3 linked regions of the Rattus norvegicus genome follow. The protein of the gene in region 3 interacts with the protein of the main gene of each other region in a pairwise test. Links are inferred from orthologs where the notes say so. Each region holds a gene or a part of one and is shown on either strand. Other genes may lie near its edges. The genes, in order: Copz2, Copz1 and Copg1.

What was found.
Region 1: the proteins of Copg1 (region 3) and Copz2 interact in a two-hybrid assay, tested with the Homo sapiens proteins (2 studies listed by BioGRID). The link is inferred for Rattus norvegicus from reciprocal best matches to the Homo sapiens genes COPG1 and COPZ2.
Region 2: the proteins of Copg1 (region 3) and Copz1 interact in a two-hybrid assay, tested with the Homo sapiens proteins (2 studies listed by BioGRID). The link is inferred for Rattus norvegicus from reciprocal best matches to the Homo sapiens genes COPG1 and COPZ1.

Annotation. Positions count from the first base shown.
Region 1 is NC_086028.1:82,327,676-82,331,795, reverse strand, and holds the start of Copz2 (coatomer subunit zeta-2), read right to left. Parts: upstream 2,909-4,120; 5' UTR 2,899-2,908; coding exon 2,797-2,898; intron 2,414-2,796; exon of another isoform or gene 2,329-2,413; intron 2,131-2,328; coding exon 2,056-2,130; intron 1-2,055. UniProt on the Homo sapiens protein: The coatomer is a cytosolic protein complex that binds to dilysine motifs and reversibly associates with Golgi non-clathrin-coated vesicles, which further mediate biosynthetic protein transport from the ER, via the Golgi up to the trans Golgi network.
Region 2 is NC_086025.1:136,305,169-136,308,782, forward strand, and holds part of Copz1 (coatomer subunit zeta-1), read left to right. Parts: intron 1-395; coding exon 396-477; intron 478-1,060; coding exon 1,061-1,152; intron 1,153-3,614. UniProt on the Homo sapiens protein: The coatomer is a cytosolic protein complex that binds to dilysine motifs and reversibly associates with Golgi non-clathrin-coated vesicles, which further mediate biosynthetic protein transport from the ER, via the Golgi up to the trans Golgi network.
Region 3 is NC_086022.1:121,922,652-121,926,855, forward strand, and holds the start of Copg1 (coatomer subunit gamma-1), read left to right. Parts: upstream 1-1,310; 5' UTR 1,311-1,416; coding exon 1,417-1,453; intron 1,454-2,467; coding exon 2,468-2,520; intron 2,521-2,857; coding exon 2,858-2,938; intron 2,939-3,145; coding exon 3,146-3,217; intron 3,218-3,369; coding exon 3,370-3,449; intron 3,450-4,204. UniProt on the Homo sapiens protein: The coatomer is a cytosolic protein complex that binds to dilysine motifs and reversibly associates with Golgi non-clathrin-coated vesicles, which further mediate biosynthetic protein transport from the ER, via the Golgi up to the trans Golgi network.

The sequences.
Region 1 (4,120 bases), on a different chromosome or scaffold from region 3:
GGAAGGAAGAAACAGGAAGATCAGGAGTTCTAGGCCAACCTTGACAATATGAGACACTGTTTAAAAGAAAAAAAGTATGACTCACACATGTAATCTCAGCACTTGGGAGGCTGAGGTAGGATCACTGTGATTTCCAGGCTAATCTGGGCTACATAGTAAGTTCCAGGCCAACTTTGCTTATAAAGTAAGCCCCTGATTAAAAACAAAACAAAACAAAAACCAACCAAACAAACAAAAAACAAGCAAACAAAATTAATCAGGGGCTGGTTGTGGTGGCATCTTTCAACCCCAGCACTTGCAAGGCAGAGGCAGGCTATACACACACAGACACACACACACACACACACACACACACACGCACGCACGCACGCACGCACGCACGCACGCACGTGCGTAAAACAAAAGTAGGGGCTTGCCAGTGATCTCAGCACTCAAGGGACAAGTTTGTTAGTTTGTGGCCAACTGGTCCACAACAAAACAAAACAAAACAAAACAAAAGTATTTGGGGGCTGAAGAGTTAGCCCAGCGGTTAAGAGCACTGACTGTTCTTCCAGAGGTCCTAAGTTCAAATCCCAGCAACCTCATGGTGGCTCACAACCATCTGTAATGGGATTCGATGCCCTCTCTGGTGTGTCTGAAGACAGTGACAGTGTACTTATATACATAAAAAATAGGGGCTGGGGATTTAGCTCAGTGGTAGAGCGCTTACCTAGGAAGCGCAAGGCCCTGGGTTTGGTCCCCAGCTTCAAAAAAAAGAACCAAAAAAAAAAAAATAGTTGGGGATTTAGCTCAGTGGTAGAGCGCTTGCCTAGCAACTGCAAGGCCCTGGGTTCGGTCCCCAGCTCCGAAAAAACAAAAGAGAAAAAAATAATTAAAAAAACAAAAGTGTTGCTAAATTTCTGTTACAGATAATTATATTGTGGCAGTAACTTTATTTATTTATTTATTATTGAATTTTTGTGTTTGCTTTTGAAACAGGTCTTATTATGTATCCCAGGCTGGCCTCAAATTCACAGAGATTCACCTGCCCCTTTCTCCTGAATGCTGGGATTAAAAGCAAGCACCATTGCCTGGCCTTCAAAGTGGCAGAAATTTAGGGCATTTTTTTTCTTTCTACAGTCTTTTCCCTTTTTAACATTTATTTATGTGTGCGGGTTTGTAGGGGGGCAAGGATGGAGGTCAAAGGACAACCTGAGGAATCTGTTCCCTCCTTCAACTACGTGAATTCAGGAACCAACTCAAATTGTCAAACGTGGCAGCCTTTCCCACTGAGCCATCTGTTCTACCCTGAAACTTAGCTTCAAATGGTTTTAGCTTATCTCACCCAAGCCGTGCAGGATGGATACTGGATAACTGAATGGAAGTCCGAGGAAAACTATCTGGAGCCTCAAATCTAAACCCTGAATCCAAGAGTCACTTGTGGGACTAACCCTGTGACCTCAGGCAACCTACTTAGCACCCTAGACTTCATTTTCTACATCCCTGAAGTTAGAGGGCGCGACTAGATGGTCTCCCCAATCCCATACTACATCATTATGCTAAGTCCTTATTGTTTACCTAGTTGAAGTACAAAGGCACACAGGTCACTTTGTCTACAGTTTAGGGACTCAGATTCCTAGGTTTCAGGCTCAACTATCCACTGAACCCCTTTGGTGAAGCTTCCCAGGCCCAGGATGCAGCTGGCCAGAGCAAGGACAAGGAGAAGACATGTCAGGGAACATGAGTAAGAAACAGGAGATCTCCACTCACCCCACCCAGCCCCTCACTGTTAGACTGATAAGGCACAGGGCAGACAAAGTGATTTCTAGAGAATCTAGGCTGGGCTGCTCTGCTATCCAGAACGCAGAGTTTCTCCTATAGGAGGAGTTAAATGGGCTGGGAGAGGGGTTAGGGATTTAGCTCAGTGGTAGAGCGCTTGCCTAGCAAGCACAAGGCCCTGGGTTTGGTCCCCAGCTCCGAAAAAAAAGAAAAGGAAAAAAAAAAAAAGGGCTGGGAGGGGACTGCTTGTCTTGGACAAATGGCACTGTCTTCAGGGTTCCTGTGGGGAGGGGTTACCTTGGCCAGCAGCCTTCGTCCATCATTATCTAGGATGAAGACAGCCTTGATGGTGTAGAGAGAAGGTTCCTGAAACTGACACGAGAAAGGAACCCCTGACTCAAAGTAGACACCGTGTCTTGGGCTCCGTAGAGCCAGCTATCCCCCAATCCACGGCTGGTTCCAGCCCAACCCCTGTGCCACATGGACCATTTCCGGTGCCCACTCCCGCTCCCAGACAGATGTTCCACTGCAGGTCCGAGGAGTGGGCGCTGAGTCCGCTGGGTGCAGAAAGTCCTACCGGGCCCAAGTTCTGTCATGCACTGACTGCTCCAGAGCCCGAGTCGGAGTGTATCACAGAACCTGGGCCCGGGGAACAGCGGCGCCGAGCCTCCTTGTGTCCAGCTGACCCCCACTTCCAGATGCGCGCGGCCATCACCCTGGAGTAAAGGAGCCCAACCAGACCACCTCGCCACTCCCACTCCTCCCTCGTCCCGCCAGAATCTCGCTCCCTTCCCCGCCACCCAAGTCAGTTCCTATCACTGCAGCGAGTTCCCCAGAACTTCAGTCCCTCGACACTCCACTCAGGCCTCCTCGCCCGTGCGCTCCAGGACGAACTTTTTCTCCCTTCCCGGGGCCCAGGCTGCCTCTCCGGGGCTGGGCAATAGTGGCACAAAGTTCCCAGCTCAGGAGCCCGAGGCAAATCGGCTGTCCCCAACCACCATCCTGCCGCCCCGGGACCCCACACTCCGTGCTCCGTACCCTCTGCTCCGTGGCTCGGGTGGGCGGCGCTGCGCCCCCGGCTTGAGCGGCCGAGGCCCCCTCCCCCGGGTGCGGACGTGGCCAGGCCTCCGGCCGCTGCATTCCGCTCGCTGCCTGCACTGACAGCGCCGCCCCGCCCCGTGCCCGCCCCCCGCGACGCTGCCCCTCCACCCAGTCCTGCGTGGCTGGTCTCTGTGTGCGTCCCCTCTCTCTGAACGAGCTTTCCGCCAGACCCCCCACACCGCAGAACCTCATCTCCCCACTTGGATTCTTCCCTCTGGCCTCTCTCTGCACCTCCCAGTCTCTCAGGTGAACCAGAAGCTCCCCACTCTTCCCACTTACTGCCTCTTCTGGCCTAGGTTGGGGGCCTGTAGCTTTGGTGCCCAGAGGTCTCCACGTGGCTGTCCTGGGTCAGCCCGAATCTCAGGTAAGGTTCACTTTTTCCTCAGGACCCCCTAGTAGGTGTCATTGGGACAAATAGCTCATCACTTTTTTTTTTTTTAAAGAACTCTTTTTTTTTTTTAATTTTTTGAGATTTCTCTCTCTTTTTTAAAATTGTATTTATTTTATGTATGTGAGGACACTGTCACTGTCTTCAGACACACTAGAGGAGGACATCTGATGGTTGTGAGCTACGGTAGGACTCTCACCTCCCCCAGACATTTTCCAAGGCCAAGAGGTGGATGAGGCCAGTAGGATACAGCACACTTGAAATCCAGCCTGAGCCTGCGACTACCCCGCCAGAGTACAACACATAGAGTGAGGTAGTTACCGGTGCTTGGGCAGCCAGGCATTCAGAACACTGACAGATATGTCATACACAAGAGCTCTCACTGTATGGCTTTTGTCAAAGCCACCATGTCTAGGAAGGAGGTGTTTTTGGACATATCCATTGAGCAGAGTCAGACTTCATGTGACCTGTTCAAGCTGCTGATTGGGCTAGGCAGTTGAGTGGGAGGGTTCCCAGGCTTGGGACAGGGCAGGTTTCCCCATTCTGACCTTGAGAGCCTCAGTATACAGCATTGCAGTCACACCAGACTTCTTTCCACTTAAAGACACCGAGCCTTTCTCTTTCCGACTTTCACCTTTTTCTTTTTTTAGTTTCATGTGTGTCGGCGTGTCACCTGCATGCATGTCTAAGTGTGAGGGTGTCAAATCTTGGAGTTACAGATGGTTGTGAGCCGCCATGAGGTTGCTGGGAATTGAACTCAGGACCTCTGGAAGAGCAGTTGGTGCTCTTAACCACTGAGCTGTCTCTTCGGCCCATCTTTTTTTTTGTTGTTGCTTTTAAAAATTACACATACTGATCCTTTTATTTATCCAT
Region 2 (3,614 bases), on a different chromosome or scaffold from region 3:
TGTTTGTTTGTTTGTTTGTTTTGTTTTTTAATTTATTTCTTTTCTGGGTGTATATGTGTGAACTTGTTAGAGAGGCCAGAGAATAACTAGCAGGAGCTCTCTCTCTCTCTCTCTCTCTCTCTCTCTCTCTCTCTCTCTCTCTCTGCCATGTGGGTTCTGGCTCTGAGGCTTGGCAGCAATCTATCTCTCTGTCTCTTTCTGTCTCTCTCTGTCTCCCCCCTCTCTCCCGCCCCCTTCCCATTCCCTGCCTCTGTAGTCCATGCTTCTCTGTCTCAGTATTCCCCTGTTACCTCATGCCTTGAAGGGGTCATACAAGATCCCAGAGTAGAACACTCACTAATCATTGTGGGCTCACAGCTATGGTGACCCAACCATGTCTCCTTCCCTCCCACTAGTACTATGACGACACCTACCCCAGTGTCAAGGAGCAAAAAGCCTTTGAGAAGAACATTTTCAACAAGACCCATCGGACGGATAGTAGGTCATTCTGCACCATTCTCTGTGTTTCGGGGAACCACAGGAAGGGGGTGTCAGCAGGACTAGAAAAAAAGATAAAATGACTCGGCCTCCTCTTTTTTTTTCCTCCTCCCCTCATATAATAAACTCTTCAGAAATGTAATGGGGAGGTGAGTGTACCTCACACGGGAATACCATGGTAGAAGCTTGGCTGTTAGCTACCTGTCTAGTCCCTGGATTTATGAGCCTCACTTGACAAATTTAACTGCAGCTCTGCTTATTGTACCGCATCCATTAGGGCAGGTAAATGGAAGCCTGTAAAGGTGACCGCTCTGCGTTTTTACCTCCGAAGGATCGGCTGCTACCCTGCCTCATACGCAGGGAGGGAAGTAGGTGCAGTGGGGGAGGGAGAACCAGAGAACAGAGACTCCCCTGAGTTTCTGAGTCCCTTCTGCCTACCCCTCGAAACAATAAATAGCTTCAGTGCTTGGAGGTCATTACAGTTGGCCTTTCCTTGGCCCAGGCAGCTGGCCCCGGGATTTCATGGGAACTCCTGTTCTGCCACCTCTTCTCCCACCATTCAGTTTCTGCTTTCTTCCCCCAGGTGAAATCGCCCTGTTGGAAGGGCTGACAGTGGTCTATAAAAGCAGCATTGATCTCTATTTCTATGTGATCGGCAGCTCCTATGAAAACGAGGTGAGACTCACTGTGCGTGTGCTACCTCTGACGCCACTCCAGTGGGACACAGCCACTGGCTTGGGGCTTGCAGAGCTACATTCCTCTGCTCTCTGGCAAGGTCATAAAGAGGTCTGTCAGAAATCCCTGTCAGCCTTACAGAAGAAATGGCCCAGCCAAAGAATCAGTCCAGAAAGGAAGTTTCCTGGGTCTTTTTTTTTTTTTTTTTTTTTTTTTCTTTTTTTAGTAAGGGGCAGTATCTTACTGTATAACACAGGCTGTTTTCAAATCACATCTCTTTCCCAGGTGCTAGAATTACAGACAGGAACCACCATCTCCAATTAGAATATACATCTATACAGTATTAATGTTCTTTCCTACACAGTGGCATTTTAGGTTTTGTTTGCTTCTTTGTTTCTGTTTTATTTTTGAGACAGTGTTACACTGTAGCCCAGACTGGTCTCAAACTCAATGCAATCCTCCAGTCTTAGCCTCTTCAGTGCTGAGATTGTAGGTGTGAGCCACTGTGCCAAGTTCCCATGGCATTTTTTTGTTTGTGTGTGTGTGTGCGCGAGGAGGGAGTTTGAGACAGGGAGTCTATGTGTAGCCCCGGCTGTCCTGGAACTCACTCTGTAGACCAGGCTGGCCTTGAACGTCTCAGGGATCTACCTGCCTCTGCCTCCTGGATACTGGGTCAAAGGTGTGTGCCACCACTACCTTGCTAACCCATGGTGCTTTGTTTGTTTGTTTGTTTGTTTGTTTTTTAACTTTTTAAATTTTATTTTATGTGCATTGGTGTTTTTGTGTGAAGGTATTGGGTCCCCAGGAACAGGGGGTCAGTAGTAGTAGTAGACAGTTATCAACTACCATGTGGGTGCTGGGAATTGAACCCAGGTCCCCTGGAAGAGCAGCCAATGCTCTTAACCTCCAAACCACTTCTCTAGCCCTCTACCCACAGTCACAGTGTTTTTTAAAGGTAGATTTCTGAGGTGTAATCAAGGGTGTGCGTGTGTAAGTGTGAATTTCATGAACCATACAGTAGGAAAGGGTCACTTGATGAGCTCTCACGGTATAAGTGGGTCTGTGAGTGTATCCCTAACCTTCTTGTATGTAGGAAACAACTTCTGGGAGAGTAGAAGGCACGTAAGCCACCAGATAATTTCCCATCACAGCTAAGACTTTTGAGAGACCAGGTCCTGCTGAGCCCTTACTGCTATGTGTGTGCTCTGTGAAGTGTATTGTTTAAGCTTGGCAGCATTTCTGTGGGTGGGAAGCATTACTGTCTTTGTTTTGCCAACGAGGAAACCAAACCACAAAGAACCATATAAAATTACTTTTATTTGGCTTTTGTCAAACTATAAAAGCAGCTGTATGTGTGACTCAGCTCACTAATTCCCTGGAGGTTACCTATGTAGAACAAGCTGAGGTTCAGACCGAGTTCTGACTTGAGAGCCCAAGCTGGGGCTGGACGTGTAGTTCAGTAGTGAAGTGTGCCCATCGCAAATTTCAAGTCTCAGATTTGATCCTTGGTACTGTTTCCTTGTTTTGTTTGTTTGTTTGTTTGTTTTCTTCTAGACAGGGTTTCTCTGTGTAGCCTTGGCTGTCAAGAAACTTGCTTTGTAGACCAGGCTGGCCTTGAACTCAAAGAGATCCACTGCCTCTGCTTTCCGAATTCGGAGATAAAAAGCATGCATGATGAGGCCAATCTCTGGGAATCCAGGATACAGACCTGGCCAGTGTCCATCAGTGTGGCCAGGATTTGATAAAGCTTGATTCAAATTTGGCTTAAAAACAAAACAAAAAAAAAAAAGAAAAAGCATGCATGACCACACCTTACTCTTGAGTACAGTTTTTTTTTTTCTTTCCACCACCTTCCTCTGATCTCAGCTCTTAATAATTTCTCTCTTTACTGATCCATCAGGTAGCTTGGTAAAGGCATAGGGGCAGGGACTGGAGAGATAGTTCAGCTATTAAGAGTGCTGGCTGCTGGAGAGATGGCTTAGCAGTTAAGAGCACTGACTGCTCTTCCAGAGGTCCTGAGTTCAATTCCCAGCAACCACATGGTGGCTTACAACCATCTGTAATGGGATTTGATGCCTCTTCTGCTCTTCTGGTGTGGATATAGATAAAATAAAAATAAATCTTTTTTTTTTTTTTTTTTTTAAGAGCACCGACTGCTCTTTCAGAGGACCTGGGTTTGATTCCCAGCACCCACATAGGAGCTCACAACCATCACTCAATCTCAGGGAATCTAGTGCCTTCTTCTGTCATCTTTGGGTACTACTCATATGTGGTATACAGACATAGTTTTAGACAGATAGTGTATACATTAAAATAATTATTAAAAAGACACTGAGGTAGAGAGGCACGGCAGTGCACACACACCTATTATCCAGTACTTGGGAAGTACAAGGCAGGAAAATCAGGAATTTAGGCTTAACCTCAGTTATATAGGTGGTTCAAGACCGACTGGGGCTATGTGA
Region 3 (4,204 bases):
CAAGAAGAAGCACGCAGACATGGGAACCACATTTTTATTCTAACTCAGGTGGTGACATTGTCTTTTAGTTTTAAAAGAATCCCAGTGGGGTTGGGGATTTAGCTCAGTGGTAGAGCACTTGCCTAGCAAGCGCAAGGCGCAAGGCGCAAGGCCCTGGGTTCGGTCCCCAGCTCCGAAAAAAAGAAAAAAGAAAAAAGGGAAAAAAAAAAAAAACCCAGCAAAGGAATTTAAAGGGGAAAAGGTCAGTCACATTAATCTGAGAGTAGCATGGCCTTTTTACAAAGTTAACAAAATTTTTACTGGGTGTGGGTATTTAAAATTTTGTATTAAAAGTCTTACAAGGCGGAGGAAGATAAACAATATTTGGATTCCTTGTCAAAACACAAGTTTTACAGTATTTAGTAGAAAAGACTCATTTCATAATTTTCACAATTGAACCAGGTCCTCAGGTTTGGCAGCAAGCACCTTTATTTACCAGCTGAGCCACCTCATTGGCTCTATTTTTTGAGGTGGAAGTCATGTAGCTTTGGTTGGTGCCGGAAGATGGCCTTGAACTCATCCTTTCTCTGCCTCATGAGTGCGGAAATTACAATGTCCAGTTATATCTCAATTTTTTTTTTTCCGGAGCTGGGGACCGAACCCAGGGCCTTGCGCTTGCTAGGCAAGCGCTCTACCACTGAGCTAAATCCCCAACCCCGTATATCTCAATTTTTAAAGCACAAGTGTACATAACTCTAATATTCATTGGCTTACAAAACTAGACTTTGATGGAATCGGTTCCTTGGCTAGCAACGGGTGCCCTTTTCCCCCTTCGCGCCCCGTCTCCCGCCTACGACGACCCCCCTGGCACAATCCTTGGGGACAGTGAACTTGTCCGAGAGCAGCTTCCCAATAAATTTGCCTTTAAAATATTCTAACCTGGCTTGTTGGCTCATTTCACCGGCGGCGTAAAAATAACCTATCAGTGAGACTTCCGGAAAATGACAATAAAGAGTAACAGAGAACGTTTATGGGGTCAGCGTGCTGCAACTCTCCCAATCAGAACGCCCTTTAAATTCAGCCGGCAGCAACTGCAAAGACATCAGCCACCGGAACACACGGGGGCGCAGAGGCGGAGCACCCGCAACAGCAGGTCTAAGGCCCCGCCCCATTGCTCAGCCACGCCCATTTTCCTGAGTCTCATTCCTAGCCTTCCGCTCTCCTCCACTCAGCTAGATTTTGACTGTCTCCGGGCAGGCAATGAAGGTGTAACGTGGAAGCAGTTGTGCGCAGGCGCAGACGATAGAGTGCGCAGGCGCAGTCCAAAGAGCAGTGCTCAGGGCGACGTGGCGGGCGGGAGTACGGAAGCCGCTGGGAGAAATTGATCTCACCGCTACCCTGAGCATCTTTCTATTGCGTGGAGCTACCGCTGGCACCATGTTGAAGAAATTCGACAAGAAGGACGAGGAGTCTGGTGAGGGACCCTTGAAAGTGTTGGGAAGGCCAGATCCACGCGGGGATTCACGCGACCTTTCTAGGCTTCCTTCTTCCGGGCCTCTGTCAGAACAAGATTCGAGGCCAGAGAGGGGCAGGGGCTTGTGCGCAGGTCCATAGCAATTCTTGGAGAAGACGTGCTGTTTGCACTCTCCAGTTCTGGTCAGAATTGATGCGTGACCTTGTGCGGGTCACGCACCTCTCTGGACCTCAGTTTCCCCATCTTGTCAGAGGAGGTTCCAAGGATGGGTGCTCCCTTGTATTCCACCCGACCTCTTGGTATTTGCCAAAGCTGCGTTGGTTCTTTGCCTATCTGGGTGCAACCAGTCCAGCAGTTAATAACCCTGACTGTTTCTTTCACTCATTCAATAAACTACATCAGGAACCTCACTGATCCTGATATTGCAGTACCTAAGGCAAGTGCGACACTAGATGCCTGCAATAGGAATGTTAGGATGGTCACATAATGGAGGAGCCAGACAGTAACCAGATAATCACATGCATAATTACTTAATGTAATATCTGCTGTCATCTCAGTCACAGGTCAGTTAGTGTTGGTTGTCCCTGGCACATAGACTCACTTAAGTTCTGGTTGTACGAGTCAATGCTAAATGTTATACCTTGAGAGTCACAGAAAGAATGCTAGGTGACTGTGAGAGGACCTTGACTGCCTCTGGAAGATGATATAGACTTCCTTCCCGTCCCCGTGTTTGGCAGAATCTTGAAATTTAGGGTCCCAGTTTGGGGCTGTAACAGTTGGTAGAGTGCTTGCCTAGCATGCATGAAGCCTTGTGTTTGATCCACAGCACTGCGTAAACCAGGAAGTAGAGGTAGGAAGATCGTCCTCTGCTAAAATTTGAGTTCAAGGCTAGCATGGAATACGTGAGACGCTGTCTCAAAAAAAAAAAAAAAAAAAAAAAAAAAGAAAAGAAAAAGAAGGAAAGAAATCTATCCAAGATCACAACCTGTAATCAGTCTTCTCTGTTCACTGTAGGTGGAGGTTCCAACCCCCTCCAGCACCTGGAGAAGAGTGCAGTACTCCAAGAGGCAAGTTCCATCATACCTGTGTCTGGTCAGGGATGCCTGCCAGCCCTGCTGTCAGACACTAACATACATAGAGTGCTGGTTTACAGAGCCTGGGCCCAGGAAGGTGGGACCTACTAATTATATTGCTAAGTGTGACTAGTACGAGGGCAGCACAAGCAGAGACTTGGGGTATTACCTAGTCATAACGTAGATCAGTTAAGAGAAATAGGCTCTCCCCACTTGAGAATACATTTGTGTGGACTGACACACCCCGTGGTTCTCTAGGCCCTTCATGAACTGAGGGGCAGCTGTGGAATGGAAGTGTACTAGGCTAGAGGTAATGGTTGCTTCTTCACAGGCTCGGGTCTTTAACGAAACTCCTATCAACCCCCGGAAATGTGCCCACATCCTCACCAAGATCCTTTACCTCATAAACCAGGTAACAAGATGGGGCTTGGCAGGGAGTACAAGGGGGACTGTGTAAGTGGGGATGTACCCTTAAGCTTTCGATTGACAGCTCTGTGATTGGAACCAACAGTCTAGCCCTGGGTCCTCTTAAGTTTCCAGCTCTCATTTGTTGCTTGTGCTCCAAAGGTCTAGCCTGCTGACCTCCTGTCCAAACCTGCGTCTTTTCTGATTACCACAGGGGGAGCACCTGGGGACCACAGAAGCAACTGAGGCTTTCTTTGCCATGACCAAGCTCTTTCAGTCCAATGATGTAAGTACGTCAATCTGCATGTCTGCAGATGTGACGCCTGTGACAGGGTAGCTGGCAGGAGGACAACTGCCTTCCACACAGTCAGGCTCCTCTTGAGTCAGGTCCTCTCCCACTGAGCAGGACTGATAGGGTCTTCTCCATGTCTTTTCCAGCCCACACTCCGCCGAATGTGCTACTTGACCATCAAGGAGATGTCCTGCATCGCTGAGGATGTCATCATTGTGACGAGCAGGCATGTCTTGGGCAGGGGTGGCTCCTCTGGTGGGACCCATTGACAGAGACAACTCGTACAGCCAAGGGACTCCTGACATCTGGCCTGTGCCCTGTCCTCCTAGGCCCACCCCCTGCCAGCCTCTAGAGTGGTCTGCTTCTTTCTCACTTCTCTGGCCTTGCTTCTCTTCCTCCTCCTTAGACGGCACAACCAGTGTGGAGCTTTCAGAGAGTCTTTAGTCAGTGCTAAGGAAAAGAAAAACAGATGCAAGAAATCCTTCAGAACTGGGAGTCAAAACTGGACATGGTGCTATACACTTGTACTTACAGCGTTTGGTAAAAACAGGAGGATAGCTGCCAGTTTGAACCTGCTTGGGCTACATAAGAAGATGTCACCAAGAAATAAAATAAAACAACACCCCCCCCCCCACACACACACACCTAGTTCTTTTATTTCTTATTGACATTGCTAGCCAAGGAGAGGGTCCATACAGCCAGTTTCAGGTACATTGATACTTACTGGGGCTGGAGAGATGGCTCAGTGGTTAGAGCACCAGTTGCTTTCCTAGAACCCACATCAGGAGGCTTAAGAGCATCTGTTACTCCAGCTACAAAGGACTCTGATGTGTCAGAGGGCACCATACTCAGGTATACATACTCACATGCAGACAGATACTTACATTGCTAAAAATAATAAAAATAAATTTAAAAATTTTTTGGAAAGATGATACTGAATGGTCTTATCAGTCCATTGAATGGTTTTGGGAGTATATGAGC